5 separate regions of the Mus musculus genome follow, and regions 2, 3, 4 and 5 are each reported to be linked to region 1. The links are microRNA targets in miRTarBase. Many come from high-throughput screens and were not tested one by one. Region 1 holds a microRNA gene; each other region holds the end of a gene's coding sequence.
The links. The annotated mature microRNA mmu-miR-200b-3p reads UAAUACUGCCUGGUAAUGAUGA and lies in region 1 at 3,655-3,676, opposite strand. An mRNA with a match to its seed (bases 2 to 7 or 8) in the 3' UTR can be bound and repressed. Matches are read on the target gene's strand: a 7mer-m8 pairs with bases 2 to 8, a 7mer-A1 pairs with bases 2 to 7 and ends in A, and an 8mer does both.

Region 1 (6,330 bases):
AGGAGCACCATTTCTCAGCTGTGCCCAGAGTCCTATGGCGATAGGAGTGCCCCATAGGTTGTCATTCTCTACTTGTGAGATCTGCCCTTCTTATGCTGTGCTGGGAGTCGGGGTCTCTGTGGTCAGTCCAGTGCTGGATCAAGAGACCTCTCTGCTCTAGACTAATAGTACAGTGGGACTGCAGGTGGGCTGGGGCACATAGCACTTCTACTAAACCCTGGGCTGAGTTATTGGGGCTGAAAGCCTCCAGGCTGGACAGGTAGCTCACCCAACCCTGGAGAGGCTTTGGACCAGCAGCCAGCTGTCTCTGATCCTGGCTATGACATTTTCAATGCACACTCCAGGAGCTGGGGATTGTAGCTCAGGGGTGGAGTGATTGCTTTCACATTCATAACACCCTGGGCTTGGTTCCTGCACAAGACACCCAATTCTCACTCCAAGGCTGACTCTTGGCTGAGACAGGAGCCCCCATTTTCCTGATTCACCTGTCCTTGGTAGGTTCTAGAGTACATATTGCATACCAGAGCTGGTTTGTGTAATGACTGGCTGGGTACAATGAGCCCCATGTCTCTCTTCTATCTGGCGGGAGCACCGATCACTGGAGTCCCCGTGTCCTCGGCTTGATCCTTTGCAAGGCTGCTTGTTAATGTTTTGTACGGTGAAAATGAGATGATCAACATAAAATTTCAGAAATCACACAATTTATTGCCTTACAAAGATTTTTTTTGCCTGCATTTTATTTACAATGCTTGAAGAGATGACAAAAAGGGGACCACCTATTATAGAGCGCACGATGGGCGGACAAGTCCCTCAGCCACATAGAACTTGGAGCCCAGCAGGTTTCTGTGGAAGATGAAGTCCAGTGTCCCTATAATGGTTCTTTAGAGGAATGGCCTGTCCAGGGCTAAGAAATCTGTTAGGGCATGTTGGGTTCCTTCAAGAGGGCAGTGGATGAGGTAGGGTTTGGCTCTGCTGGACTCAGGCTGTATTGGCCAACTTGAGGTTTGCAGAAGTCTAGGTACTGAAGCCAGCAGCTTGCAGATGAGGTCTAAGAGGTTCACTTCTAGTTCTTATCACAGCAACACTCAAACTCCCCATATAGCAAATGATGTAAGCATTGGGAGTCATTCTAGAGCAACCGTTTTAGCAACAGCCTTTTGAAAATTCTCAGGGACATGGGGTGGGGGTGGGATCTTTAAGATCGGGCCATTCAGCATCCAGAGTTAGACTGAAAGATGACTCTCAGATCCTAAGAGCCAGAGGTGGGATGCATAGGAAGAGCTCATAAGCAGGCTGACAACGGCAGAGCTGTGCAGCCTTGTGCATATTCCTGGGTATGAGTCACTATCACCTGGTCTGGCACCTTGGCAGTGCCCCTGTCCCTGAAACCCATATACTTATTTTCCACTCCGGGTTTGGGCACAGTGGTTAGACTTGCTTTTACTCTCCTTGGTTCCATGACCTGAGAATTTTGGAGAGGAGACAAAGGACCAAGGTTTTAGATCTCCTCTTGTCTCCTACCAGTGTTGATAGCACAGGGGCTACAGAATCTGCAGGTGACAGCTGACGACAGATCGAAGTCTCTGTGTGGAGCCCAGTGGGCTATGGAGGGCAAGAGGACTGTGACCGCCCCACTGACTATTCCTGAAAAGGATGGATACGGAGGCCTCAGTCTGCTGTGGCTGTAACCGAAAGCTACTACAGGGTCAGAGGAAGGCAGTCAGGCTCAGCGGGGCCTGTATATTTAAACTGTGGTCTGTTTGCATAGAGGGCTTGATGAACCCAGCTCTGGACAGTTGTAACAGATGGATTAAGGTCTTGTCTCTACCCAGTGTCCACGAGGTGGTGAGGATGTCGTCTCCAGCGGTGATAAGGCCGTGGATGGACGGCATTACCAGACAGTATTAGACAGATGCATCCAGATCTAACCATGTCTGGTAAGACATCCATCAGCAGGGCAGTACAAGGGCCTCCCCATCTGGGCAGTTGGATTTGATACCTGTAGAGGGAAGGCCAGGGTTGGCTTCCTGCCTGCTCTGGTCCAAGGGCCATTCTTGGGGTTCACCCTTCTAGGACCTGGGACTACTCTAAGGACTTTCTTACCAGGGCCCAGCTTGGTTGCCTGTTCCTCAAGTGTGGAAGTCTGTGGGTGCAACAGGAGAGTCATCTGCTCACTCTTACTTGGCAAATGCTCGTCATAGCACCTCTTTGGTTTTCTGAATGGCTGTCAGCTTAATGAGTAACATTAAAGCCAGGAACAGACTCCTTCCCCCGGAAGAGTCATCTAGGCTGATACTGGGTGGGGCTCCCTGACCCTGTACTCTGGCTCCAAGTAAAGAAAGATAAGAAGTAATCCTGGATTCTGGTTTGGGGCAAAGTTCCTATTCTGGAAAGCCATTGGGAAGGAATAGAGATTCCTTGTTCTTAATTAGGAAACAGCTGATGACGTCACAATTCTGTGTACCAGGCTCAGGTCCCCGAACCCACCCTTGCCCATTGGTCCCATAGGCACTGACAGTCCTTATGCTAACACTGCTATCCATGTCTCCTTACCTAGCTCAGCATCCTCACTAACCCTCACAGTCTCTCTAGGAATCAATGAACCCCCAAATCCAGCAGAGGAGTTGGCAAAGGTGGGCATCGCTGCTCTGAGAATGAGTGACAATCCACTTCTACTCCAGTACCCCTGGCATGGTGAAACCATCCCTTGTCCCAGCATGAAGTAATAGACAAGGGTCAAAGTCCAGCCCCCACTGACTGCTGATCTGTAGAGCTGAGACAGGCCCTCTGCACCCAGCACCCAGCCTCGGCCTAACTGGAGTCCAGGAGGACAAGTGTGTATCATCAGCCTGTCTTCGGCGAATGGTGGGTCACCTTTGAACATCGTTACCAGACAGTGTTAGAGTCAAGCCAAGAAATCCAGCACTGTCCGGTAAGATGCCCACAGAGGCCCAGGTATGCTCTGGCAGGAAGACACAGGTGGTTTCCACCCTCAGGGAGGCCCAGTGGAAACCTGATGCCATGAACAGCCAGAGACCGTATATGCATCGCAATAAGCCAGCAGAGATGTTGACCCTAACTCATACGGTCTGCTTTGTCCAAAGCAAGGGGACAGTGACACATTGGCTCAGTGTGCATGTTGGAGGTGCTGTTGGTCAATAGGTCGGTGCTCACTTGATGCAGGAAGGTAAGGTATCCCAGGCTTGAGTAGCCCCACTAGGGGGTCAATCAGTACACAGCTCCTAGATGTAGGTGAGGCAGTTTTTGGCATGAGGCCCTCTGAGCCTAGGCGGAGACTTAGCCCTTTAGAGCCTTTGCTGCACTTCCACCCAGCGTACACCTGCCAGGTGTGGTGGCAGCACCTGCCTGGGTATTGTATGCAGAACCCAGGCACTTGACTGTCCTAATTCCCAGGGCATTGGGAGGGGGCGCCCCCAGGGCAATGGGAGGAGCCTCTCACCCCAGGATATAGAGTGGCCCTCAGAGGTGCCTGGTTTGGGGGAACTCTCCCTAAAGCCTCCCACCACCCATATCGCCAAGGCTAACTCTTTGCCCCATAGCCCTACCTTGGATAAGGTAGGTGAGGTGTGGAACTGGGGCCCCTGGAGGCTGGGATCAGGAGGCGGCTCCATTGCTGCATGCAGGGCTCCGCCGTCATCATTACCAGGCAGTATTAGAGATCAGACACTATCCAATGCTGCCCAGTAAGATGGCCACGGCTGCCCAAGTTGGATATGGAGGCCGCCTAGCAGGGAGTTGAAGATGACTAGATTCCATGGGCAGGGCCCAGATGCCTAAGTGTCCTAATCCCCAGAGCATTGCAGAAGGAGGGCACCCCTTCAGGACAACAGCAGAAAGCCCTGCATTCTCATCTCCAAAGATAGGTAGTGGAGAGGTCAACAGCTTGAAGTAAGATCAAGTTCTCTTTTGGAAATTAGATGGAAAATAATTAGGATGGGGGTCTTATAGGCCCTGAAGCCTCTTTCTTGCCTCTCTATAAGGCCCAGAGGAAGGACTTAGCACCCATGGCCATAGACAAGTTCCCCTGCCCAGCCAAACCTGACCTGCAGTGGACTAGCTTGGGGCCCAGGTGAGGACTTTGAAGGGTCAAATAGTCCTTCCCAGAGGCTGACAGCCCGAAAGAGCTGGGAGGCAGGCTATGTAGACTTCCATGTGACCAATGGCCAGGTCAGGATCAGGTCATAGACAGGCCCTCCATCTGAGTATATTCACTACAGAATAGCCTAGACAACAGGTCCAGTCCCATTAGGGTACACAGTGTACTTAAGGTTGATGAGGTTCACTCAGTGGGCCTCTGTCTCCAGGATACTGTTCAAGTCTACTTTCCTGCCCAGCCCCTCTTGCCTTTTTCAGGGCCCAAGAAGGATACTGGGATGAGGGACCAGGGATCCAACACTTCAAGCGTATGGGAAAAGCAGCCCCCAGTATGAATACAATAATCACATACCCATAGAAAGATCTTTTTGTTGCTAAGGACATAGCCTGTAGTCTCCCATACAGAGCCAAGAAACTAAGCACCTGTCCCAAGGATACTTGGGACTGAAAGAGACTCAATCTGTGCCTCTCCTCATCCCAAGTCCGTCTTTACAGAAGTATTTCTTCTCGTTTTTCTGGTCTTTTCTATCACAGACACAATACAGGTGGCTCAAGCCCTGTACTGATTTCCTCGGATCACAACGAAGGCGTGTGTCACTGCCTCCAGGCAGCCGCTAGTTCTCCAGCCTCTCTCCTGAAAGCCAACATTTCTGAGGACCTGACCTGAGCACAGGCTGAGCAGATGGGAATGGACACTCTATAGGAGCCTAAGGTTTTAGAAACTGTCCTAACTCTTCGTCTATCGCCTACAAGGTTCCCAGTGCTCTCAAACACCCGTCAGATATACTTCCCCTTTCCCGAACTTTTTTAGTTCTATCCTATCAGATTCATAAAACCGGTGCTTCAAAAGGACTTTCTCTCTCTCTCTCTCTCTCTCTCTCTCTCTCTCTCTCTCTGAGCTTTGGCAAACTAAGGATTCTATTTGAGAACTAAGTGGACTAAGCAGAATTTCAGTTATCCTTGTGGCTTCAGAGCCACAAAGAGTGTGGGAGCTGGGTGAGGGTAAGCACCAAGGATGTTGCCTTTCCCCCTTCTGGTTGTGCCAAAGAAACAGGGAAGACGAAATGGTATCTAATGATGAGCCTGATCCCTGCATCCTTGACTACTCAGGGTGAGCACTTCTTAGGGAACATGGGAGGCTAGGGGACTCTGCCAAGTGCATAGCTGGCCCGGGCATAAGCCAAAAGGTCAGATATATGGGGGCAGGTGCTCAGACAGCAGTGTGTGTGTGTGTGTGTGTGTACAACCTTCAAAATGCAGATTCTGTAGGTCCTCCAGCAAAATTTAAAGGCTGAACAGATTCTAAAAGTCATGAGTTGGGACTGGGTGTCTTGGTGTCCAAGCACTGTTGAGTATGGGGGACCCTGCTTTATCCAGCATAGGGGGAAGGGAGAGACAAAAACATGACAGAATTACAGCCATAGGTCAAGAAATGAAAAGCAAAAACAGGGGTTCTATTTGGAGCCTGTGTGGTGCCCATCTGGTCAGTTGTATCTGAAAGTGAGGTTCAGGTCATGGTCCCCACAGCTAATTATCAGCATCTACTAGGCTTAGTTTAGGAAAATTAAGGAATGGATCCAGAAGCCAAGTGCCCCCAAGGCTCCTCTGCAGCAAGCACCCTCCCCCTTTCCAGAGTGCCTTGATCCTCGCCTGCGAGGCCAGGGAAGGTTGGGAATTTGTGGCAGAGGAACGCGTTCCCAGTGTGGGAAGTTGCTGGTTAACTTGCTCAAGGGGCCTTAATCAATGCTGAGGCCAGAGAACAAAGCTCTGAAAGTCAACCTCTCCTAACTTCGATGCCAGCGGCTGTGGGAGGGGGAGGGTGGGGGCAGGAAAGACTTGTCTTGTCTACACTCAGGCTACCTCTTAGTGGCTGTTGGAACTGCGTGTCTTCAAGGCAAAGCCGCCATTTCATCCACACAGCCGTCAGCATTGTCCCTTAGCCCTTCGGTTGTATAGCTCACCCTCCAGGTCCACTGCACCCCTGAGTGCCAGCCTCCTGCGACCGGGGAACTTCCTTAGGCCATTTTACACACTAAGAACATCCTGGCAAATTGATTTTGCAAATAAAGTATTTGCAAATTACCAAGATGCCTGAAAATTAACAATGGACTATATCCATATTTTATGGCTCATTTGCATTTTCATAAATGCAAAACATTTTGCTTGATTCAACAATCTACCGATTGCTCCAACATTTTTATCTAGGTTACCAGA
Region 2 (6,330 bases), not on the chromosome of region 1:
AGTAGCAACACACAGACCCTCAGCCTCTCACCAACAATGGTAACTCATTCCCCTGGTGAGAAGACACGCAGAGAAGCGGGACACTTGGGTGGCTGCTGAGGTTGAAAGCTGTACCTCTCTAATAAAAGCTTGGGACCACAGCCCTCTACTTATATTCACTGAGATAATTAGGAAATCTCCTAATTCTTTAAAAAGAGTTAAATACTGGTAATATCAAAATTAAAATGACATCCTAGCTGTAAAAAAATTTTCAAAAGTAATTTCTGGATTTTTAAGTGTTGACTGGCTCATAGCACTGTAGTTGGTAATAGCCAGTCCTGATTATGCCAGCTGTCCTCTGTGTATCCACTGTTGCTCAGGCCACACCCACTCATGAGGGGCAAGATTGCAGCCTTGTGGGGCAAAAGCTATTTTAGATGTTATAAAGAATTTCCACATCAGCTCTACATTTGTGAAAATTTGCCCATAAGTAGAAAGAGCTGTGAGACATCAAAATGCCGTGGAAGCCCCTCTTCCTGAGATTGTCACCCTGGCTCATGGGAGCCTCACTTATAAATGTTCTGCCATGTGGTCCTGATGTATGAATTTTTGGCATTTCCACCTTTTATAATTAGCACTGGCCTCATCTGCAAAGCAGTGTATAACCTTGAATTTTCACATAGAAAAAAATGAACCATAGTATTATCGTACAATTGGGAACCTGCCAGTTTCTTGACCATGGAACTGTGACCCTCCCCTTGCACAATCTGAATGTCCCTTCATTCTCCCAAGCACTCTGTTTATTTCTGCCAGTGTTCTGTTTCATAGCTGCGTTCTTACCTTGCAGGTAAGAGGCCTCACGAGTGTGGAATCTGTAGAAAGGCATTTAAACACAAGCATCATTTGATTGAGCACATGCGGCTGCACTCTGGGGAAAAGCCCTATCAATGTGACAAGTGTGGCAAGCGCTTCTCACACTCCGGCTCCTACTCTCAACACATGAATCACCGCTACTCCTACTGCAAGAGAGGAGCTGAAGACAGAGATGCTATGGAGCAGGAAGACGCTGGGCCCGAAGTCCTGCCGGAAGTCCTGGCGACTGAGCATGTTGGTGCCCGGGCGTCTCCCTCACAGGCTGACTCGGACGAGAGAGAAAGTCTGACAAGGGAAGAAGATGAAGACAGTGAAAAGGAGGAGGAGGAGGAAGATAAAGAGATGGAAGAATTACAGGAAGGAAAGGAATGTGAGAACCCACAGGGGGAGGAGGAGGAGGAGGAGGAGGAGGAAGAGGAGGAAGAAGAGGAGGAAGAGGAGGAAGTGGAAGCGGATGAAGCCGAGCATGAGGCAGCAGCCAAGACTGATGGTACAGTGGAGGTTGGAGCTGCACAGCAGGCAGGCAGCTTAGAGCAGAAGGCCAGCGAGAGCGAGATGGAGAGCGAAAGCGAGAGTGAGCAGCTGTCTGAAGAGAAGACAAATGAAGCTTAGGAGTTCTTCTAAAAGGAAATTCTACTTGGTAATGAAATTTGCTCTATATTACCCACGCTTTTCATGGAAACATGGCTCCATGGCTCCTGTGCTATGGTTCCTGCTCACTACTGTGTAATGTCAGAACTGAAAAAAAAAAAATTCCGGGTGTGCCTGAACCTCAAACCTAGTAATTTTTCATGCAGTTTTCAAAGTTAGGAACAAATTTATAACATGAAGCAGCTTAGAAAACATTAATGACTCAGAAAACAAAGGTTTCTCAGCAGGTTACAGGAGGCTGGATGGGCGTCCGGCATGGCTAGCAGTATTATCACTCTTACGTTGGCTCATTCTTAAGCTCTACAATGGGAGAAATTTTATAATTTTTTTATTGGTAAACATATGCTAAATCCGCTTCAGTATTTTATTATGTTTTTTAAAATGTGAGAACTTCTGCACTACAGAATTCCCTTCACAGAGCAGTAGAAAGCAGTTCAAACCGTGCTGGCTACCTGCTGCTACCCAGTCAGTCAGGAGATAGGACCTCTGACGTTAGATGCCGTGTTGCCATCTAACATGTATTGCTAGCCTTAAGGAAGCAGCCAGAGAAGAGCTGGAGTTTCTTACTCGTGTGATTTTTAAATGGAGTTCAAAGGTTGTCGTTGAGTCCTGACTCCAGGGACGACCAGTGTTGATGTGGCAAGGCCGGCAGAGGCGGCAGAATCAGTGTTCGTGATTGTTTGCGTACGTTAGCAACCATGAAGGATCTATAGGAAGCAAGCGCTGTGTCCCTTTGGCCTTAAGCAAGACCTGTGCTCTAAGTGCCATTCTCAGTATTGCAAGGCTCTGACAGCCTTCCCGCAGTGTGGCCTATATTAACTAGCAGTTGTTGATTCGTTTGTTGTGTCAAAATTCCCAAACAAAACTCAAAACCACTGACTGTGAGAGAAGCTGAAGCACTGGGGCATCTCACACTTTTGTTCCTCAGTAGTCATTTCATGTTGATTGACTCTCAGAAGTCTCTACAGAAATAAAAGGGAAATTCTCCAAACTACTTAATCCATGTACTTGCGTGTCAGGCATGGATACGCTATTGGTTTTTGGTTCACAGCCGTTTTCCAAATGTTAGTTATTACGGACCCAGGTGATGAACAACAGCAGCTGATTTTTACCTACCAGTATTATTTTATTTCTTTTAGTTTATAGATCTGTGCAACATTTTTGTACTGTATGTCTTTAAGCCTGGCAGTATTAATACCCTTCTTACTGACACGTACTTTTAGTTTTAGAAAACTTTTATATTTATGTGTCTTATTTTTATATTTCTTTATTTATTACACAGTGTAGTGTATAATACTGTAGTTTGTATTAATACAATAATATATTTTAGTATGAAATTTTGGAAAGTTGCTAAGATTTACAGTAGAGATGCAGTTGGTTCCCGTGCGTTGAGATTTGATTTAACAGTGTTCTGTTAACATTTATACTTGCCTCCGACTGTAGACCAGCCTTTAAATGGGAAGGTATTAGTTTTACAACTACAATCAAGTCATTCTCCCTTTCCCCAGTTTTTAATAGGAAACTCTTACACTTTGACACTCACTGTGTGCGACTCATAGCATGCCGCTCTGCAGTCTTCTGTTAAGAGTTGGCCCAGCCATAACTCATTCCCTTAGCAAGCCAAATTAGAATTGCCTTCTGTAAACAGTGTTGGGAACAATGTTTAACATGTGCCAATTTGTTCCTGTATCCATGTATGTAAGCTACCAATCTGACTCTTCCTTTTAAGTTCCTTGTTACACCATGGTCATTTTCTAGTTTTTTACCAGACTCCCCAGCTCACAATAAACGCATCAACAAACCTGACCTGCTGTCGTTCTTTGGATCATCAAATTTCCTTTGGAAAATTGTCTATGAAGTGGGCATTACATCCTAGAGCTTCATTCATCTTGAGCTGAGTTTGTTGACACAAAGTATTTGAGACACTTAGCACAAAGAATGCCTTTTCCTGTGGGGGAAATTCCCTGAGGAAGCCCTCTGCACAGGTTGTCCCTTCTTCCAAAACCCACAGAGCAAGAGCCTTCCCCTCAGGGAACATCAGGGCTGTGCAAGCTTAAGATGCTTTTTGCTTGTACTCTGCCACTCTTTGAACCCTTCTCATTCAGCTCAAGGACTGTCACTGATGTTCCTCCCCATGTCATGGTCATGCCTCATGTGCCCCCTGCCCATGAACTGCCTCTCAACAGACATTCATTGAATGAACACAGAAACTGCACATTTGCAGAGCTTAGCTGTGCTCACTGTTTTGCCTCTAATCTGAAAGTTCATAAGGTAAATGATTCCCATAATGTGCCGGTGGTCTTGTTTGAGTCTTATAGGCACTTACCATAGGAGATGTAATAAATGACTGCCTTGGAAGCTGCTCTGTTGTTGTGATGTGTGGAGAGCTTATTTCTAGGTGTCTTTCGGGTGCTCAAGTTTATGGTACGGGGTACAGGCATTGAAAGCTCAGGGAGGGACTACCTCGAAAATACTTGATAGACCTGGTTCTGACAGAGTTAGGACACACATCCTATGCCAGGACCCCACATTCTTACAATCTTGTGTGCTCCCCATCTTCCCACACCACAGCCCTTACTTCCCCTGTGTCCACTGTCAGCAGACTGCCTAATTTCCTGTCCCTAACACCAGCTATACCAAAAAAAAAATGTACTGTAAAGGTTATGAGATGCTAAAGTACCATTCTTAGGGGATGTCCACTACTCATGAAAGTAAATCTTGGAGAAGATGGTGCCTCATCCGTGAGCCTAGAAGGCTAATGAAACTAACCACATTATCAGGGAGCAGGTCTTTCCAGTGCCCCCTCACACCAGGAAAGAGTGGCATTGGTGTCCTGAGATGCATCTGCCTTGCTGCTTTTATCAAGATTATGTTTCAGAGAGCCTTAAAACTACCTGGGAAAGCCATATGGCCATAGCCACATGAAGAAGACGTAGAATGGGGCTCTGCACACAGACCTGTCTGACTCCAAGGACATGTCTCTGTCCAGCCTGCATCACATGTCATGTTGAGGTGGATTCTCCTGGCCTAGCCCTAGGCAAGAGGAATAGAAAATACCCCTGAGAGCAGCATGCATCCTGGCAGAGGAAGGTGGAGACTTGGGATTGTTCTCAGTTTCCAGTGCAAACTTGAAAGATAGCCTAAGGGAGGGAAAGGGGTTAAACTCACAGAGAAATCTAATCCTGGATTCCACCTGAGATCACCGGGAAGCTATATTAAAGCAACCATGTATTAATTCTACCTCTGACAGAACTTCAGACCTACAGACACACCTCTGCCCAGTAAAGACAAATTCACCCAGAACACACATTTATTTACCTCAATAACTCCTGGGTCATTTACAGGGAAAAAACATAGGGCATAACAGAATTCTCACTTTTGAGATGGAAACCAGCCTAACTACTCAGTGGTTAAAAAAAAAACACCCAGAATGCCTGACGACCTGAGTTCCATCCCTAGCACTCCAGAATCCCAGAACCCACAGTGGAAGGAGAAGACCAACTCTAATATTGTCCTCAGACCAGCATTTGCATGCCATTCATGCACACACATAAACTAATCATAAAATTGTTTTAAAACACCCATAGATCAGTAATAAATACATTTTTAAATCATCTAAATTATTACAAAGCCATATCAAGTTGTTCCTGATGAAAAATATGACTCACAATGATGGCATCTTATGTCAAAAATTGTAGTATAAAGTTAAGTGATATGTACAAGAGAAGGCACAGTGTTAAATGCTGACAACAGGAGAGAACAAAGGACTCATACAAGCCTCCACCTCAAACTGTACAAGTAAAACACAAAACAGGAGAGAGCCGATAATAAGGAAAAGAGAAAACCGTGACATAAAAAAGCCATGTAAACCAAGTCAACCTCTGAAAAGGTAGATTTCTAGCCATACAGTCCGAGGTAGATAGAAGAGACAAATTGCCAATCTTGACAGAAACAAAGAAAAGCCATCTACAGACCCTACAGAGTAAGATACAGAAGGAATAACTGCATGTCCATGTTTCTGACAGCTTGGGGAAAAGTGCCACATTGCTTGGAAGGCCATAATTACCAAAGCTCATGCAGAAATAACCTAAGTGCAATCAAAACTAAATTGATTGCCAAAAGCGTCCTACAAAAGAGGATTCACAGCAGGTGTTGCTACTGGTGATTTTTTTGTTTCATACATTTGAAAAAGTTGTACCAATTCTACACAAATCATCTCCTTCTCCAATTGCCTGTGAAGCTCAGATCAACAAGGGCATTTCAATACAAGAGCTACAGACTTAAATTCCTCAAGAAAATAGATGGAAAGACCTTCAACTGAATATTAGGACATTACTTTGAACACTTTATCAACAGGAAAAATGAATCATGATTACGTGTGATTTTTCCCTAAAACTTCAAGATTCATGGAGCATCCCCAAAAGTCAAGTAGTGTTACTCCCACTAACAGTGTACTTAAGAGTGCTTGGAGATTCTGATTATCTCAGAAGTGAAAGAGAAACAATCAATAAATAAATCAGTAAAACCTTCAACAGCAAGCCAGAAATTACCAGCAGTCTAAAAGTAGGAGGTGATCTCTGTAATAATTGTCATCTTCAAAACCTCTACAAGTAAAACACCAGTGTGAAAGGCCCACACCTTCCTCCAGATGAGGAGCAAGACCAGAAGGTTACACTGGCTAAACCTTAGGCTGGGTCCTTTAAGGACAGACTGCAGCAGTATGTTACCTGCAGTCAGCCTAGTTGTCTACAGAGGAAACAAGGAATTTTTAAGGAAAGGTCAAGAAGTTATGAGAATTCAGTCACTTTCTCCCAAATAATTCTAGAT
Region 3 (6,330 bases), not on the chromosome of region 1:
GCCCCACCTTCTGAGGAGGCTGTGTCCTGAAGTAGACTATGCCGGCTAGCCATTGAGCCTGAGAGTCTATCTGTTGCTATACCCCCACCTTTAGGATTGCATGTTGCCGTACCTAAGTATCTGTTCAAGGGTTTGGGGATTGAACCATGTGTTTCTGGCTTTCAAGGCAAGCCCCTTTGTTGACCCAACCATCTCCCAAGCCTATCCTTTGGCTTCTACAAAAGTTCTCTGTGATGTTGCAAAATTCAAATAAGGATACTGAAGGACACTAAATGTTCCATTTGAAAATGGAAACCCAGGATCACTTTGTTCCCGGGATCATAGCTGGAAATGAAGAACACACTTTGGTTGACCATTCTGGGGTAACAGTAGCTAACAAGGGCCCTACCCTTTCCTCTTCCCTCCTGTACTCTAGAGCTACCTACACCTCCACGACAGCTGAAAACCTTTTCTGTCACCTTTGTGGGGGCTCAGGAAAAGAATGGCGTCTACACTTGTGTCTCTTCAGGACAAAAAGCTCAGCTCTGTGAGTGTCCTCAGGTTAGCTGGGAGACCGTGTCATCAAAGCCTGAGAACCTGCTGTGAGGCCCTGCAGCCTTCTCATGCATGATACAGCTCACTAGTTCTGAAGAACAATTTTAGGGTCATGAAGACAGCAGAGTCAAACAGATGTCCTCCCATCCTGCACTCACAGGCACACAACCTAGCCTTCTCTTTGGCAACTTAAAGATAAAAATACATGGTGTATAAAGTTTTAGAGTATTTAGTCAGAAAGCAACTTTTGCTAAACATTAAGCAGCTACCTGGATAGCCCTGCAGTCTTCGCCCCTCGGATTTCAATTGTCATGGTATCAGGAAAGTAGCCACAGAAGATACGTAACAAACTCTGTGGATATTCTCTGATCAAACCAATTACTTGAAGATGTGAAAAACATTCATTTCAGACTGTACAAGAACAGTGCGTGTGGACGCACACTAGGCCACTCTCCCCATGCGGTTCTCTCTGCACAGTAACTCACTCACTGCAAAGACCTGCCTTCCCCTCAGGTCCACCTAAGCAGCTTTAGAAAGGGTCTGTCAGACATGTGCTAGGTCACAGCTGACAACAAAAGTCCCACAACCAAGAAGAGGAACAGAATAAACCTGAGAAACCAACTGAATTTGAAAACTAGGCTTTATTTTAACCAGTGGTATTATCTGACATCCTATGGCATACCAGATTACAGCCAAGTTCACAAATACAAACGAACAGCAGTTTTCTCGTTCCCTTGTCTTCTGATGAAGAAACTGGGTGGTGGCAGCATTGCGCTGTGGATGCCAGAACTCTTCTGCCAGTTCTAGCTTCGAGTCCAGTCCCTGGAACACAGCCCCTAACACAGCATGGTCACATGTGCAAAGATGTCTTCAATGAAATAACCAGAGCAGAATTGTTGGAAATCACACTTGGCATTCAAAAACAGACACTGCTACTAACCCATCTTGATGGGATGGCATGGAGTTGAACTGCACACTGAGGTGGTGAGACCTGGCCAGTCTGCCTCCTTCTGGGCTCCAAATGATTCAGGGTCCTCGCCTGCCCCACAGAGCAGGCATGTCCCTGCACTGAGAGGAGACACCTTGACCTAAACACAAGACCTGTCACGTCCAACACTGGAATTGGCTTTACACTTTCTTACTGCACACAAAGCTTAAATATGGGTCCTTATATAGCACAAAGTGCTCAAAATTCAGAAAATTATGCAAACAGTTCTTCACCCCTGAGGATTCATGTTTATAAAGGTGAAAATACAAAATATTAAAATAATTTGCCCTTTCTCCCCATCAGAAGGAACCACACTCTCTAAGGATTCCTACAACATACAAAATTCCAAGACAAAACTGCTTTCTCCCCAAATTGACACTGGATTCAGTGTCAAGCTGCCGGGGGGTGGGGGACCCTTCCGAGGAGAGGAGCGGGGCCTTGATGACTTGGTTTGTGTCTAACAACCCTTTTGAGAAAGATAGTAAAGGAGCTCCTGGCTTCAGGCGCTCTCGTCTCTCCCTTTGTTCAGCTTTCTTAGCTTGTCACCATGAGTGAGGAGAACATGATTTCCAGAACCGGGGATAGTCCTAGGAGAGGACTCGTTTTCCTGAATTGGTGACATCAGATGGCAAGGGTTCAGGTGCTCTCTGTCTGTCCTGTTTTCCTGCACCATGAGCACCTGGAGAATCAATTGTGTTCAACACAAAGTAGCTGGAGGAGGAGGAGGGAGCAGTGTGCCCATGGCGTCGGTGGGCGGAGGCAATGTGGACAGGAACTTCTGGGAAGCCTTCACACGCCTTGTCCAGGGCTTCCAGAAGACAGGACAAGCTCCAAGAGCACAGCATGCAAACACATCCGTGCTCTGCTAGATGTGAAGATGACACAGGAACTACTGATGGCAGGTGCCTGTGCTCGGCACTGGAGACCTCTGCACTGAGGTGAAGGGTAAGCACAGCAAACAGCTTGCTCCTGAAGTGAGGGAGGGCGGCTGCACATACACGCATGCACACACATGCACCATGGCCTTCCTAAAGGCTGCCTTGTTTTTTCCAGCTCCCCACTGGCCATCCAACAGCCCCGTGCACTTGCCTGGCTCAGAACGTCAGCAGCTGAGACTCTGTAACTATCTACGCGCCCTTCTCACCCTTTTAAGGCACAAACAGACTGACAGTTTTGAACATACCTGTCAGGTTCTGAGGACATTAAGCAAGCCGGTCACAGGCTAGAGACCAGGAGCCAGTTGGTTCTCTTGGACTTTATGCATGGCTGAGGGATAGCCTCAGACCTGAAGCAGCCTCTCTCTGTCACTGATATGGTAAAGGCAGGGCCACAGGAGAAGCCAAAGTGGCAAGGTAACTAAGAACAGGGATATTTTCATATTTCTTACTTTGCACTGAACACACACATCCCTAAGGAGATGACAGTTCCCATCGGCCTGCCCAGACTCTGAGAAAGCAGGCAGACTGCCAAGGACCATTCACAACTCATAAAGTCACTACCATCACAGTGACTTCCACAAAGATAGGTGGACAGACGAACAGACAGACACACACACACACACAAACACTAACACATACATGCACCCCCTTCCACCATGAAGGAATCTTTCAACAAGAGGCACTTGAATGGTATTTGGAGAGTTCCCATGAGAAGGTCTTCCCCTCACAGTGAAGTGAGATAGACAGAACAGAAACCAGGTGCTCAGGACTCCATTTCTTCTTGGTCAAGGGGTGGTGGCACAAAGCTGATGACTTCATCATAGGTCAGGCCTAGGGCAAGGAAAGAAGGAAGGAAGGGTGAGGCGTACAACTCCGGCAGGCAGACACTCAGCCCTTCCCTCCTGGCAGTGGTCTGATGAACTACATCACCTGCCTTGCTCCTGCCCTGCCCTGCAGCAGAGCAGCTCCAGTTCAAGGACACAGACAGAACTGTCTCCCCACTCCATCATGCACGGTGCTCCTTCTGAGTGCTCCCTGGAGCAGCACTGCACTCTGCACACAACGAGGCAGTCCTAACTGCAGAACTGACCTTGTGCTTTATGAAGGAGTATGACTGGGGGTGGAGATGTGGCTCCATTCCTGGCAGTCCCTAACTAGGCCAAAAGTAAGCTATAAAAAACTCCTGTCCTAGTTCTGTGCTGAAATACGCCAGACCCTCTTTATCCTGAAAAGATGCTGTAAACGTAAAACCGCCAAGCACCTCAAAGCTCTGTCAGTTTGAAGGCTCTGCACTCTGTGTCTGCAGCCCATCAGGGAACATACGCATCAGAGACCCTGGCAGTGAGCTCAGAAAGCTGCTGGCAACCATCCACGAGGGTTTTATTCAGACAGGTTCTCATGTAGCCCAGGATAGCCTCAAACTACCTACACAGCTGTGAATAACTTTACAGCCTGGTTTTTTTTTGTTTGTTTGTTTGTTTTGAGACAGGGTTTCTCTATGTAGCCCTGGCTATCCTGGAACTCACTCTGTAGACCAGGCTGGTCTCGAACTCATAAATCTACCTGCCTCTGCCTCCCCAGTGCTGGAATTAAAGGCGTGCGTCACCAATGCCCGGCTTCAGTCTGTTTTTTTTTTTAACCTTAAACTTTTAATCTGATTCCCAAGTGCTGGGATCATAGGTATGTTGGAAATATGTGTGAGTCCTAGGTCCAATCTCCAGCACTGTTAAAAAATATTACATAAACGGGACTTGGTAGCACATGCTTTTAATCTCAGCACTCGGAAGGCACAGACAGATGGATCTCTGAGTTTAAGGCTAGCCTGATCTACAAAGTGAGTTCCTCTGAGTGGCTACACAGAGAAAAACCCTGGCTCAGAAAACAAACAAAACATGAATAAAATGAAAGCAAGCTCAAAGCCCACGCTAGCCTGCCCTGGACTCACTCTTCCACTCATCTATGAGAAGGTCCCTGCTTTCAAAGGACTGGTCATAAGGGTCAGCAACAGGCTCATCATCAGGGTCGTGGTACTGAGCAAAGTAGGCATGCGCAAGAGCTTGGGCTGCTGTGATCCTCTTATCTGAGTCCAAAACGAGCATCTTCTCCAGTAGGTCGACAGCTGTCACACCAGAAAAGAGGAAAACACATGACATCAGTGCCACCACTGTGCAAGTTCCAAGCACCTTTCACATCCACACAAAGCATCCTTTAAGGTGTCTGCTTCTGCATGTAACCCCTTCCCTCCATGTACGCATTGAATGCCTATGGCACATTTTAAAAACATTACTGAGGTTCTGGGTTTGAAACCCAGAATAATAAACAAACACCCCCTCCTACCCCCCAGCTCTCCTTCTCCATCCACCTTGGTTTTCATTTGTGGACACTGCAGGTGTGGCACACCACCATGGAGGCTTCCTTCCCCTCTCCTTATGCTGTGTGCACTCTCTCCCATTTCTCTCTAGTCTTTACATTTACCACCTCAATTGTTGGTAAGAGTGAAATTAGGCATACTGGGTGAGACCATGCCACAGGTGATGCTGTGACCTGGGGCACCACAGCCAGGAGCTCCATTTATGCTGAGCTAAGGTGGTTGGCATCTTGAGCTCTTCCCCGTTTCTCCCCAAGTGAATAATATGGGGAGATGGTTTGTCTCCTGGTGATTATCAGTTACTTTCAATAATGGCTTCCAGGTTTTTTCTCTCCCAAAAGTAAAACAGAAATAAACTCCACAAGTTTTTAGATTTAAGGTTTTTTTTTCTGTTTGTTTTTCGAGACAGTGTTTCCCTGTGTAGCCCTGGCTGTCTTGGAACTCACTCTGTAGACCAGGCTGGCCTCGAACTCAGAAATCCGCCTGCCTCTGCCTCCTGAGTGCTGGGACTAAAGGCGTGCGCCACCACGCCCAGCTAGATTTAAGTTTTAAGTATGTCTCCACTACAGTGCATGCCTGCTGGCTGAAAATCTAAAAGCCAGCAGAGGGCGCTGGATCCTCTGTAAGTGTAATTAAAGACAGTTGTGAGGCATCCTGTTGGTGCAGGGACTCAGACCAAGGGCCCCGTTGGCCATCTCTACAGCTCCAGATGATTTCTTCAGCGTGGAAGGCTCCATGGGTGTCGAGGAGAACTTCCTGAAGAGATGCTATACCTCTGCTCCTCTGAGTGATTATGTACCCTGTAGCCTGAACACCAGTTATCCACAGAAACGCAGGCTTTGAGGGTACAGAGGAAACAGCAAACATGCATACGCTGGCTCTCCAGTTTTAGAGTGCTGGAGGAGGGCTGGGATATAGCCAGTAAAGTTTGCAAAGTGTGCATAAGGCCTTGGATCTAAACCTAGCACTGCAGACAGTGAGCATGGTGGCACAACAGGCCACATGACTCTGTCTTCAACACTGAAGCACTGGTGGACTTCCTGGATACAAATCCTCACGTTCTACAAATCCGCTGACTTTATACTGAACATGAATGAGTGGGTGCCTGCTACCCTGGGGTAAAAAGAGGTCCACGTCCTCAGGATCAAAGCACTTAGATGAGGAACAAGGTCAGAAGTAAGAACAAGACTTTTCAAGTATGGAGGCAGACATAAATAGACACTCTAAGATCAAAGGGCAATGTGAAGTTCTCAGCTGTGTCTTGAGGCTAGCAGTGATGCGAAGCCTGTGACCGACAACAGGGCTGTTAATATTTATATCGCTGGTGTGCAGCCTGTTGGGGACGGCTAGGCTAGCAATCGGTAACAGCATGTTCCTTCTGACCAGCACTTGGCAATGGGCTGCCAGGCACGTTTGGATGTGAGCAGGCTGTGAAGAGCACCAGATGGGCCAGAGCCTCCTTTTAGTCTCCAGCAGCCTGGATTCACTCCTGTAAGGCAGCT
Region 4 (6,330 bases), not on the chromosome of region 1:
GTTGATATGCAGAGCTGTGAGAACTGCAGGGTGCATACATGCAATAGCAGAGTTCTGAGGTCCCAGGATGGGCCACTGAATGAGTGTAGCTAAGTGGCAGGACAGAGGGTCATCATGGACAATCTCACAGCCCAATATATAAACATGAGCCATACTTTTCTTATGAGGTAGGGACCCTGGACTACTTTGAGCCACCGTTATTAATGCCGGCATTTTGAAAAGTATCCCTCTGCTGTGTAGTGCCTTGATGGAGTTAGGTGATCACTATCCTAGCGAGAGGAATAGGATTGGGTTTGGTTGCAAGGATATGAAGCAGTGCTAAGGTTCTGGGTATGTTGATTTTGCTAGCTGAATGTATTACGGGTAGAGAAGGGAGGGAGGCCAGGTGGCACCCAGGTCTATAGACTGGACAGCTGTAAGCATGACAGTATTGAGTGGGGGATGGCTTTCCATCCGTGCCGAGCCTGCCAGGTGACTCTGAACTGTTAACTATTCTCATTCCCTGGATTTCCCCACAGAGCAGCAGTGAGCTGGCCATCCTGTCAAATGAGCATGGCTCTTACAGGTACACGGAGTTTCTGACAGGCCTGGGTCGGCTTATTGAGCTCAAGGACTGCCAACCAGACAAGGTGTACTTAGGTGGACTGGATGTATGTGGCGAGGATGGACAGTTCACCTACTGCTGGCATGATGACATCATGCAAGGTGTGTACTCCTCTAGGTAGGCCTGCTTCCAAGCCCTGCCTCTGGAAAAAAATCAGGAAATCTGGAGGGATACAGAGGTCTGAGCCTGGGCCCTAAAGTCCAGCATTTGGTGTCCTGTCCTGGCACCCAGTCCAGTGTCACCCACTCTACAGCTGTTTTCCACATTGCCACCCTGATGCCCACCAAGGATGTGGACAAGCACCGCTGTGACAAGAAACGGCACCTGGGCAATGACTTTGTTTCTATCATCTACAATGATTCTGGTGAGGACTTCAAACTGGGCACCATTAAGGTGAGTGAGATTTCCATGTGCGATTGCCTAGGCAATGGCTGTGCTCTGCCACTGCCATCACCAGACTCAGCAGCAGCCCAGGCGGTCTACAAAAATGCCTGCTGATGTATTTTGAAGTGGCCTTGAGTGTCTTGGGAGGGTACACTTTTGGGAGCCCCATGCACTGGGACAGGCTATCAGAGACACAGGAGACATGATCACAAAACCTTCCTTCATATATAGGATGAGCTGTGGCCCTCAAGACTAACTAGGTGAATATGTCCTGGTGGGTGTACAGTGCTCAACAGGAGTGTACTGTCTGCTTACAGTGGCTTTTAAGGGTCCTTGTTGGACACATTGTAGCACACTTGGGTCTGCACGTATCACAACTGAGAGGAGATGAGGCAGGGCTCTGGGAAGCTAGTGTAAGGGCCCATGGGCAGTATCGTCCTGGGAGAACACCCTCAGCTCTGTCCTTAGGCACAGTCGGAAGCCTGCAAGGCAGGGTGTATGTTTTATGCTAAACACATAAACCTGCATGTTTAGCCAGAGATGTCAAAGGCAAGTGGGGAAGCAGCGTGGCCTTCAGCACATGCTCATGCCGGGTGACTTTCCTCTCCTTTGGGCAGGGCCAGTTCAACTTTGTCCATGTGATCATCACACCGCTGGACTACAAGTGCAACCTATTGACCCTGCAGTGCAGGAAAGGTGAGGCCCAGGCTGGGTAGGGTGGCAGTTTTGGCCTGAGCTGGGTATGAGCATTGTGTCTCCACAGACATGGAAGGCCTCGTGGACACCAGTGTGGCCAAGATTGTGTCTGACCGCAACCTGTCCTTTGTGGCCCGACAGATGGCCCTGCATGCAAATGTGAGTGGTGGCGGCAGCCTGGGGAGATAGTCGTGTGGGCGCTCCCTGTTGTGATGGAGCTCACTGTCACCATCCTGCTCTGTCACCTCCAGATGGCCTCACAGGTACACCACAGCCGATCCAACCCCACTGACATCTATCCCTCCAAGTGGATCGCAAGACTCCGCCACATTAAGCGTCTCCGCCAGAGGGTAGGGAGGACAGGCTTCAGAGATGCGATGTCTGAGTCTGGTTGAACAGAACTTCCGGACTCACTGCCAGAGCTTTCTCTCTCTCTAGATCCGTGAAGAGGTGCACTATTCCAACCCAAGCTTGCCTCTGATGCACCCTCCAGCCCACACCAAAGCCCCAGCTCAAGCCCCTGAGGCTACACCCACCTATGAAACAGGCCAGCGGAAGCGCCTCATTTCCTCCGTGGATGACTTCACAGAGTTTGTGTGAGGCCAGCAGATCCATGACTAGAGTCCTGTGGCCAGCCATGTAGCTATCCTGACTGTACTCCTACATGAAATAAACTGCACACGCACATCTGGCCCGTGGAGTTCAGAGAGCAGCACAGACAGCAGTCAGACAGCTTCTTTATTTGACTTTGTCTTGTCTGTTTGGGGTTGGGGCAGAATCCAGGCTAGAGCTGCAGATGAGCCCACAGAAGCAGGCAGGTGCCATCACATACATTCTCTTTCCCCCACCCGCCATGGGGGCAAGCCCCATTGGTGGGCTTGTCCAGTAACTTCTTGGCATCTTTCATCCCACAGTAGTCCTGCCCTTGCTCAGATCTGAAACCAGCAGATCTGCGTGCTGCCTGGCCCCAGACAAGGGAGGAAAACAAGGCCACGGTGGCCCCAATTGCTGTCCAGCACCTGCCCGAGGCCAGACTCGGATCCAGTAATAGCTGCAGCTTCCCCTGTACCCCTGCCCTGGGTAACAATGGACCCATTTTCAGCCCAAGTAGAAAATACTGACATACAAAAATATATACATTTTAACCCCATATAAATTATTGATGGTGGACATAGAAAGCAGATGGTAGCTAGAGGGCAAGTATGCTGCAGAAACAAGAGAGGTAATAACTTAGGGGACGGATAAAGGAGAAGTGTAGCTTAGCCCTCCCTCCAGCTTAGATTTTTAGCAAGAGGAGATGGCCACCTAGGGGTAGAGCTGGGCGCAGCCCGCTGAACCTGAGGACTTGGGGGGAGGGGGGGCGAATAAATTAGCATCTTGGAGGCTGGGTACTCACTTGGTCCAATACTGCTGTGTCCTCCTGTGGGGAGGGGACCCTGGGTCCTGGCTGGCCACACAGCCTTTTTAAAGTGCAGAAGCCCCATATGTGGACAGGTAAGGAAGGCAGCAATACCTGTACCCAAAAGAACTGGCATGCAGCCGTTCTGCCTGGCCCAACCTAGAGGGCAGCAGAAGGTAATACTGAGTGGTGTCCACCCTGGCTCTGAGAGGCCAGTGTGAAGCTCAGGCATTCCCAGGGAAGGGAATGGCCAAGACCCCTAGGGCCTAAGTGCTGCTGGGGTGGACCTTGTTATTAGGCCACAGGGACACCCTGTTGGGGCCTACAGTCTGATCCAGCCCCTGACTGGCCCGAGAAAGGCGGCTGGGCAAAGCTGGCTGAGAGCCTGGGAAGCAGCCAGGGGAGGGAGAGGAAGGAGGTCCATTGTGCCCATGGCCTTGAAGGCTCTGGAGTTGTTGCTCCAGCTGGTAGACGTCCTCTGTGGCCTGGTTGAGTCGGTCAAACTGGACAAGCAGACTTTCAAACACAGCATGGAGGCGAGAGGGCTCTGGTTCCAGCTTCAGCGTCGAGCGGCTTAAGCTGGCGCTCGGCCCGTCTGGTTGGCTGGACGAGGTGGATGGGTGTGAAGCTTCTGAGCCTGAGCTAGGTGGGAGCACAACTGGGGATGACTTGGAGCCCCTGGATGAGCGGGAAGGCAGTGGATCCATTCCTTCAAAGCGGACTTTGTGGCGGAACTGGGGGCGGCACAGGGGCTCGGTCAGTCCGGCTGCACCCTGGGCTCGCGAGACCCAGGGTGTGTCCCTCTCCCCCCCACTGGGCCGTACCCACCTCCTTGACCTTGCTGAAGCCCATCCAGAGCCGAAGCCTACGCAGGAAAAGCTCCACCATCTCATAGTCCTGGGGTTCCCATGCTGGGCGGTAGAGCTCGCCACGCAAGGCGTGGTACCGCCAACGCAGGAGGATAGCCCCTAACCTCAGGGCACCCCACACTCGCAGAGCCCAGAGCCCCACACACAGCAGAGGGGACAGGTACCAGGACTCTGAAGGGCACAGAGTGGGGACCCTCGCCCCAGGGCACAGCACCAGGAAGGCACGGGCCATGTTGTAGAGAGTGTCAGCACCAGAGGAAATAAGCTATGGAAAAAGAGATGCAGGTGAAGGCATAGCCTGGGGGAGGCCCTTCCCTGGGATACCACAAACAGCGACCTACCAGGATGGCCATCTGTGCATAGGCCACACCAAGCAGCACCAGGCCCAAGGTGGCTCCCATGAGCTCGGGCAAGGCCCGACACAATGTCTTGCCAAAAACAGACCACTGGCGCACAAACCGCAGCTGCTGGGCAGCCTGTGGATAGGAGGCAGTCAGCTTTCTCCCCAGCCATGGCAGTCTGATCCTAGTCACCACCAGACCCCACCTTTGACCTCACCTTGACCAAAAGCAGGAAGAGTAGTGAAGCTGCCAGGCCACGGGCCACAGAGCCCAGCTGAGCCACTTGGTCGAAGCTAGTGAAGTGGCGTGGATGGTCCTGCACAAAATGGGTCCACTGGCGATCAGCAATGCCCAGCTGGGCCAGGCGTACAAGCCCTGTAGCTGCTGTCAGTATCACCAGTAGGCACCGTGCCCAGGTGTCAGGCCTTGCTGTGCACGCACACCCATCTTTGCGCCAGGTCTGCACCTCGGCCATGGAAAAGTATAGGGCAAACAGCAGCAAGCACACCTGGGGGTGGGGGGAGGAGGTTGAAAGGAGATACGTGACGGGTGTTGTCAAGTGTTCAGATTCCTGTGGGCATGATCAGGATCCCGAGGAAAGATGTCAAGTAGAAAGGCATACCGAGGTGAGCAGTGGTAGAGACAGGCCAGTGCTGAGTCGCCGTAACGCAAATGGGCGGACACTGAAGGCAGCCAGTGCATGGCCGGCTACAGGGAACTCGAGGCGCAGTGTAACAGCAGCATGGAGCCCCACAGCAGGGCTGTAGCGGGTGAGTTCTACAAACACTGCACGGCTCCTGCATGGAGGGTGCTGTCAGCATGAGGGGCCGTGTGCACAGGAGCATAGGATACAGGACACGGGAGACACCGGAGGGAGGGAGGGAGGGGCACAGGGGATTCAGGGCTAGGCATGGGGGCAGCAGGCTACAAGTGAGGCTCAGAGCCTGCCAAGGGAGTGGCTACTTTCCTACCCATTTCCCAACTCAGCACCCACCTGCTGTCAAGCCAGTTGTGCAGCTGCAGGAAGCCCAGTCGTGCACGGCTCTCCTCCAGACTCAGTCCTAACTCCTGTATGTAGCCCCCACTGTCATACACTGCACAGTAGCCCCAGTACCAGGCGCTGTGGAGACAGGGCAGGGTTGGAAACTCCCTAGTCCTGAGAGTATCTGATAGGCATGCCCCCAAGGGGGCCAGAAGATTCTCTGGAGAACGTCACCCAGGTGGGGCCTTAGGCTCTTGTTCTACTCACCCCAGCAGGTCCGGTGCAGAGTAGGCCCATGTCTCAGAGCCATTTTGCACCACACTCTGCCAGCCAATGCCATAGTCACTGGTGCTCAAGCTTCCTGCCGCTGAACACATGTGCTCCGAGCTAGAAGGGTCTGGGCAGAATGCTAGAAAGCAGAGAGCCAGGACTCAGGACATACCCAATGGGTGACTCGCTCTTCAACTGAGCGGAGGTCCTGTGCTGTGACCTCCCCAAATCTCCTAGCCAACCATGAGGCAATTATGATGTTATAAAAAAGCAAAAGAAGGGGCTGGAGAGATGGCTCTGCGATTAAGAGCACTGACTGCTTTTCTGAAGGTCCTGAGTTTAGATCCCAGCAACCACGTGGTGGCTCACAACCATCAGTAATGAGATTGGATGCGCTCTTCTGGTGTGTCTAAAGACAGCTGCAGTGTACTTACATGTAATAATAAATAAATCTTTTTTTAAAAAAGGCAACAGAAGAAAACTAACGAGGACAAAAGTTATACAGTTAAGTAGAGTTCAAATAGCTCAGCTGCAGGTTGCTAAGGAAGCAGAAGGATGACAGAGCATGGACCACCATCCCCAGCAGGGTGACAGAACATGGACCACCATCCCCAGCTTACCTTCCTGCAGTCGCACCTGCCGTAGCCGTGGAGGGCCCAGCTCAGGGCTAGACTGGTTCCCATGGACATAGGGCAAGAACACATGTGACATCCATGGCCAGAACTCATCAGACCTGCCAACAATAGTCAGTAACTGAGATCAAGGCTGTCAGGGTCCAGGAAGTG
Region 5 (4,000 bases), not on the chromosome of region 1:
TATAGCCCAGGCTAGCCTCCAACTCTTGATCTTCCTATCTCAGCCTCTCAAGTGGTAAGAAATACTAGCATACATCCACACACTGACTTTATTCTAATTTAAAAAATAAAGTAAATTAATATTTCATGTAGCTATTACTCTGGTATTATAACTTACAAACATTTGTATATATACCATCTATTTGCTTAGAGATGCTGCAAGTTTCTCACATGTCAGAATGTATCAGAATTATCTATGAATCCTAACTAACACCAATTAGAAAAATACCCATGATCAGACAAAGCTTTTACTTTACATTTAAATGTCATGTTTTCATTTCCATGATCAAAAACTATGACATATCAAATGCCTTAAGAGAAACTGAATGGGACTTCTGGAGTTTTGTACTCTTAATTCAGAAAAGAAAATTTCTCCATACAGAGGGCCTTGGGGGTGGGGGGAAATCTATCTTTAATTATTACATGGGTATCTGTTAGCCTTAAAACACCCTCTTTCAAAATTTAATAACTAAAATTTAATAGTACCTAACAGGAGTACAAATCAGCCAAAAATAGAACTTCATCCCAACACTGATAAACAGAAATCTAACTATATCCATGAGAGAAAACAAATACTCAACAAAAAATAAAGATGGGACAGTCTCAGCTCTCAAACGTGCCCGGATTTCCAATAGCTATCGTTCCAGAAAGACCTGACTCTTATCACAATGTGGGTGCACGTCTCTCTCTCTCTCTCTCTCTCACACACACACACACACACACAGCCCGCACACGTGCGCGCATGAAGTCAAACACTGAGGATTTACAATTATTCTGGTAAGGCACACACACTCACTTAACTGGTTTATCCTAAAGAACAGGGTGGTTACAAATGAGCGATTACATAAGGTCTCCTATGGTCTCTTTTGGAGCTGCTGCCAAGTCTCTCTGAGCCTTTTCCTTTCCTTCTACCTTCTACCTTTTTACAAAACCTGGGAATACTTCCACGACGCTTTTCCTAAAAATTTCCGCTCCTGCCGTGTAGCTGCTTGCTGAACGTGCCAGAACCTAACACAACAGGACTTTGTCCTTTTCACCTACGCTTACCTATTCCAGCAGCTGCCAAGATTCACAGCTTCTGTGCTCTCTTTTTCTCTTAAATGCTTAAAATGAAAAAGGAAGGAAGGTATATTATTTTACAACTTTTCTATTCTGTAGATTAGAGTCAAAAAAAAAAAATAGCAAAAACGGGAAGTCTGTTTACATGTGCCCCAATACCTAGGAAGAAGAAACAACTGTGAAGCCTGATTTTTCTACAGTCTTTGGAAGAGGAAAGGACATAAACACTGTCTTTCAAATACAAAGCATGTAATCCTTTTTTAAAAGATCACTCACAGTGAACATACACTATTATCATTATGACAAAAGGAAATGGAAGCAAAGTTCTTCAAGACTAATTCAAGTATATAAAAGAATTGGAAAATTCCTCCTCCCTAGCTAAATAAAAGCAGTTAACTGCTGCACCAGTGTGTATTTTCAAGCAGATACAGAAGAAAAACTCATTAGCTCTTTTAAAAATACACACATTTAATGTTGGTCTGTTTTAATTCTAAGTAAAGCAATTTCAAAAATACAAACTGAACATCAGAGCCATGTGAACCACCATGATAAAAGAAAACAGACATTCACAATAATTAAGTCTAGAGACAGTTCAGCTTGATAAATTGTCTTCCAAGTATCTTAAAGAATTACTAAAAATACTGCTGGTGTTCAGTTAAAATTAAAGAACTTTGGGAAAAATGAAATATGATACAGCTGGAGTGAATAAGGTTACACGGGAATTACATTTTCCATTACCCCTAGATATAAACAAACATTCAAAAATTAACACAATCTCTGTGTTATTCAAAATATTGCAGCTGCAGGAAAGGCAACTTTAAATTAATAGCTAGGGGAAATCAAGTTTTGGTGGAGGTGAACAGAAGTGACAGTTTGTAATTTGCACTTTGTAAAGCTCATTATACCTGGTTAACCAGGAACCAAAAGCAGGACAAGAAATTCTCTGCTTCTTTTGGCTACAATGTGACAAGAAAAGTCATCTTTTGAAGATGCTTAAGGAAATAAAGCATGTTTCTTTAAAAACAGGCAAATAATCAATTAATGGAATAAATAAGCACTAACCACAATTTTAGCATTCTGTCATCAATACACGTCACATATTTTTTCATTTTGGCAGAAATTTCCCCAATTTTTAGTCTAAAATCCACCAATCATTATAAAAGTAAAATGAAGAGCTACCAAAATAATATTCTTCTGTTTACTCTTTGGCTAAGAAAGAAAACAACAAGAAAAAAACCAAACCAAAACAAACCAAAAAAACAGAAGACAACTCTAACACTGGTGATAAAAGAAACTTTTTTTTAACACGTAAAATAAAGATATCAATTTAAAATCTTGGTACATTTTATAAAAACAAGAGGTAATGTTGTAATAAAACAGCAGTTAGCCTCAGCTAGCAACATACTGTTTGTTAACCCTGTGCAATAAAAGACTTTGTTCATACTACGCTTACTCAAACATGACTAACAGTTACTACAGACATTTCAGGAGTCTTCACTGGGCTCCCACAGACTTGCTGTTAAAACTGAGACATTTACAATCATAATGTGCCACAATCACTTGAAAACGTCACTTCTAATAGGAAATAATGTAGTTATCACTCGAATTTGTTTTAGGTATTCAACAGCTGAGTTACAAGGACTGAAAAGCCCTCTAAAAGCCCATGTACACTGTTGTTCACACCCTTCTTCAGTACACACTAAACTTGACACATTTCTCTTCATACATAGCAAGCAACAGCACCCAATAAACGCCTGAGAAGAAATGCTGCTGTGTAAATACTGCAACTATTCCTGAAATAAGAATTATGGGATATATACTCCAAAGCTGCCCATTCCCATAATTTGTATTGCATAGGTCACATAATCACACACATATATATACACATGTGTGTATATACATGTACATGCAAAGAATATATTAAGACGACAATGAAGTCTAGTCACAGAGCAATTTACAGGCTCAATATATTTTTTTACATTTTGCTTGAAAGAAATTTCAATATTTTACAGTCTTTCAGTAGACATTATATACACTGCACTTTATGAAATCTAAAGGGTATTGAAATAAATCTTTCCAACATTTTGTTAACAAAACACACAATGTTTCTCCAAATACTTGTGCTATCTACATGATCTGTTTGCTCTGATAACCACTAATCACAAAAATTGACTCAATGGAATAATTATAAAAAGTATCTAACACCATGCATGGGTATGAATCATGTTTAATAGCCTATCCTAGAAACAGTCTACAAATCTTAAGATTTAAAAAAATTAAGTCTCTCCTCTGATTTTTAAAAGATATCTTTTTTTATGACAATATCCATAACATTGACAAGAACATGTTTTAAGGCCAGTATCATCTCCTTTTGTGAATATTTTTGTGTTTTCTCTTTGTTTGTTTTTCTAAGAAAGATAATAAAACCCACACTCTGTTTTTTGTTTTTTTTTTTTTTAACTGTACCAACAGAAAACGAGTGCAGTGAACATTACGTTCAGTCCTACAGTCAGGATGCAGTCGCTCCTTCCCATTCCACAAGATACTGCACCTTCCCATCAAGCGTCACCCGACGAGCCAAAACTCTGTATTTTTCGCCACATGCTATTCTACCTGCGGCACCAAAATAACTAGTGATGGAGTTTTTCAGGTGATTGAGCTGCAACTCCTGATCTGCTAAGTTATTCAGAATTTCTGTGTTAAGTTCTTCAAACTGATAATCTTCTTTGCCTTCATCATCTTTCACAACTTCTGAGTTCTGAGTCTGGAGTGCTCTTCGTGGAAGGCGACCTCTTCTTCTCCGCAAATGTGGTATTGCAGCAGGCCATGATCTTCCTGTGCGAGTTCTTTTTCTAGAGTCTGATAATCTAGGGTAGGGAAAAGAACACATCTGCTAAGATCTT

Region 2: the mRNA of Zeb1 is a reported target of mmu-miR-200b-3p. Seed matches in the 3' UTR shown: 8mer at 1,767-1,774, 7mer-m8 at 1,861-1,867, 7mer-m8 at 2,275-2,281, 8mer at 2,620-2,627 and 8mer at 2,690-2,697.
Region 3: the mRNA of Mapk14 is a reported target of mmu-miR-200b-3p. The part of its 3' UTR that is shown has no 7-base or 8-base seed match.
Region 4: the mRNA of Pkd1 is a reported target of mmu-miR-200b-3p. Seed matches in the 3' UTR shown: 8mer at 3,261-3,268, 7mer-m8 at 3,088-3,094 and 7mer-m8 at 2,798-2,804.
Region 5: the mRNA of Mtf2 is a reported target of mmu-miR-200b-3p. Seed matches in the 3' UTR shown: 7mer-m8 at 2,875-2,881 and 7mer-m8 at 1,735-1,741.

Annotation. Positions count from the first base shown.
Region 1 is chr4:156,052,031-156,058,360 of GRCm38, forward strand. It overlaps Mir200b (microRNA 200b), which reads right to left and starts at 3,720; the gene lies at 3,651-3,720. It overlaps Gm13648 (predicted gene 13648), which reads right to left. Exons shown (of 2, transcript NR_132444.1): 2 at 685-1,999. Mir429 (microRNA 429) reads right to left here and starts at 1,957; the gene lies at 1,875-1,957. It overlaps Mir200a (microRNA 200a), which reads right to left and starts at 2,955; the gene lies at 2,866-2,955.
Region 2 is chr18:5,771,603-5,777,932 of GRCm38, forward strand. It overlaps Zeb1 (zinc finger E-box binding homeobox 1), which reads left to right. Exons shown (of 8, transcript NM_011546.3): 8 at 827-3,866. The coding sequence ends at 1,464. Among named protein-coding and RNA genes, the nearest start is that of Gm34740, 120 kb to the right of the region's middle.
Region 3 is chr17:28,743,232-28,749,561 of GRCm38, reverse strand. Mapk14 (mitogen-activated protein kinase 14) reads right to left here. Exons shown (of 12, transcript NM_011951.3): 11 at 4,406-4,579; 12 at 1,157-3,291. The coding sequence ends at 3,224. Among named protein-coding and RNA genes, the nearest start is that of Mapk13, 23 kb to the left of the region's middle.
Region 4 is chr17:24,592,559-24,598,888 of GRCm38, reverse strand. Pkd1 (polycystin 1, transient receptor poteintial channel interacting) reads right to left here. Exons shown (of 46, transcript NM_013630.2): 39 at 6,166-6,278; 40 at 5,543-5,684; 41 at 5,288-5,413; 42 at 4,916-5,090; 43 at 4,511-4,801; 44 at 4,294-4,428; 45 at 3,912-4,217; 46 at 2,375-3,817. The coding sequence ends at 3,350. It overlaps Tsc2 (TSC complex subunit 2), which reads left to right. Exons shown (of 42, transcript NM_001286713.1): 37 at 519-705; 38 at 858-997; 39 at 1,606-1,684; 40 at 1,752-1,843; 41 at 1,936-2,034; 42 at 2,123-3,073. The coding sequence ends at 2,284. Among named protein-coding and RNA genes, the nearest start is that of Tsc2, 37 kb to the left of the region's middle.
Region 5 is chr5:108,106,552-108,110,551 of GRCm38, reverse strand. Mtf2 (metal response element binding transcription factor 2) reads right to left here. Exons shown (of 15, transcript NM_013827.3): 15 at 1,333-3,964. The coding sequence ends at 3,607. Among named protein-coding and RNA genes, the nearest start is that of Tmed5, 24 kb to the left of the region's middle.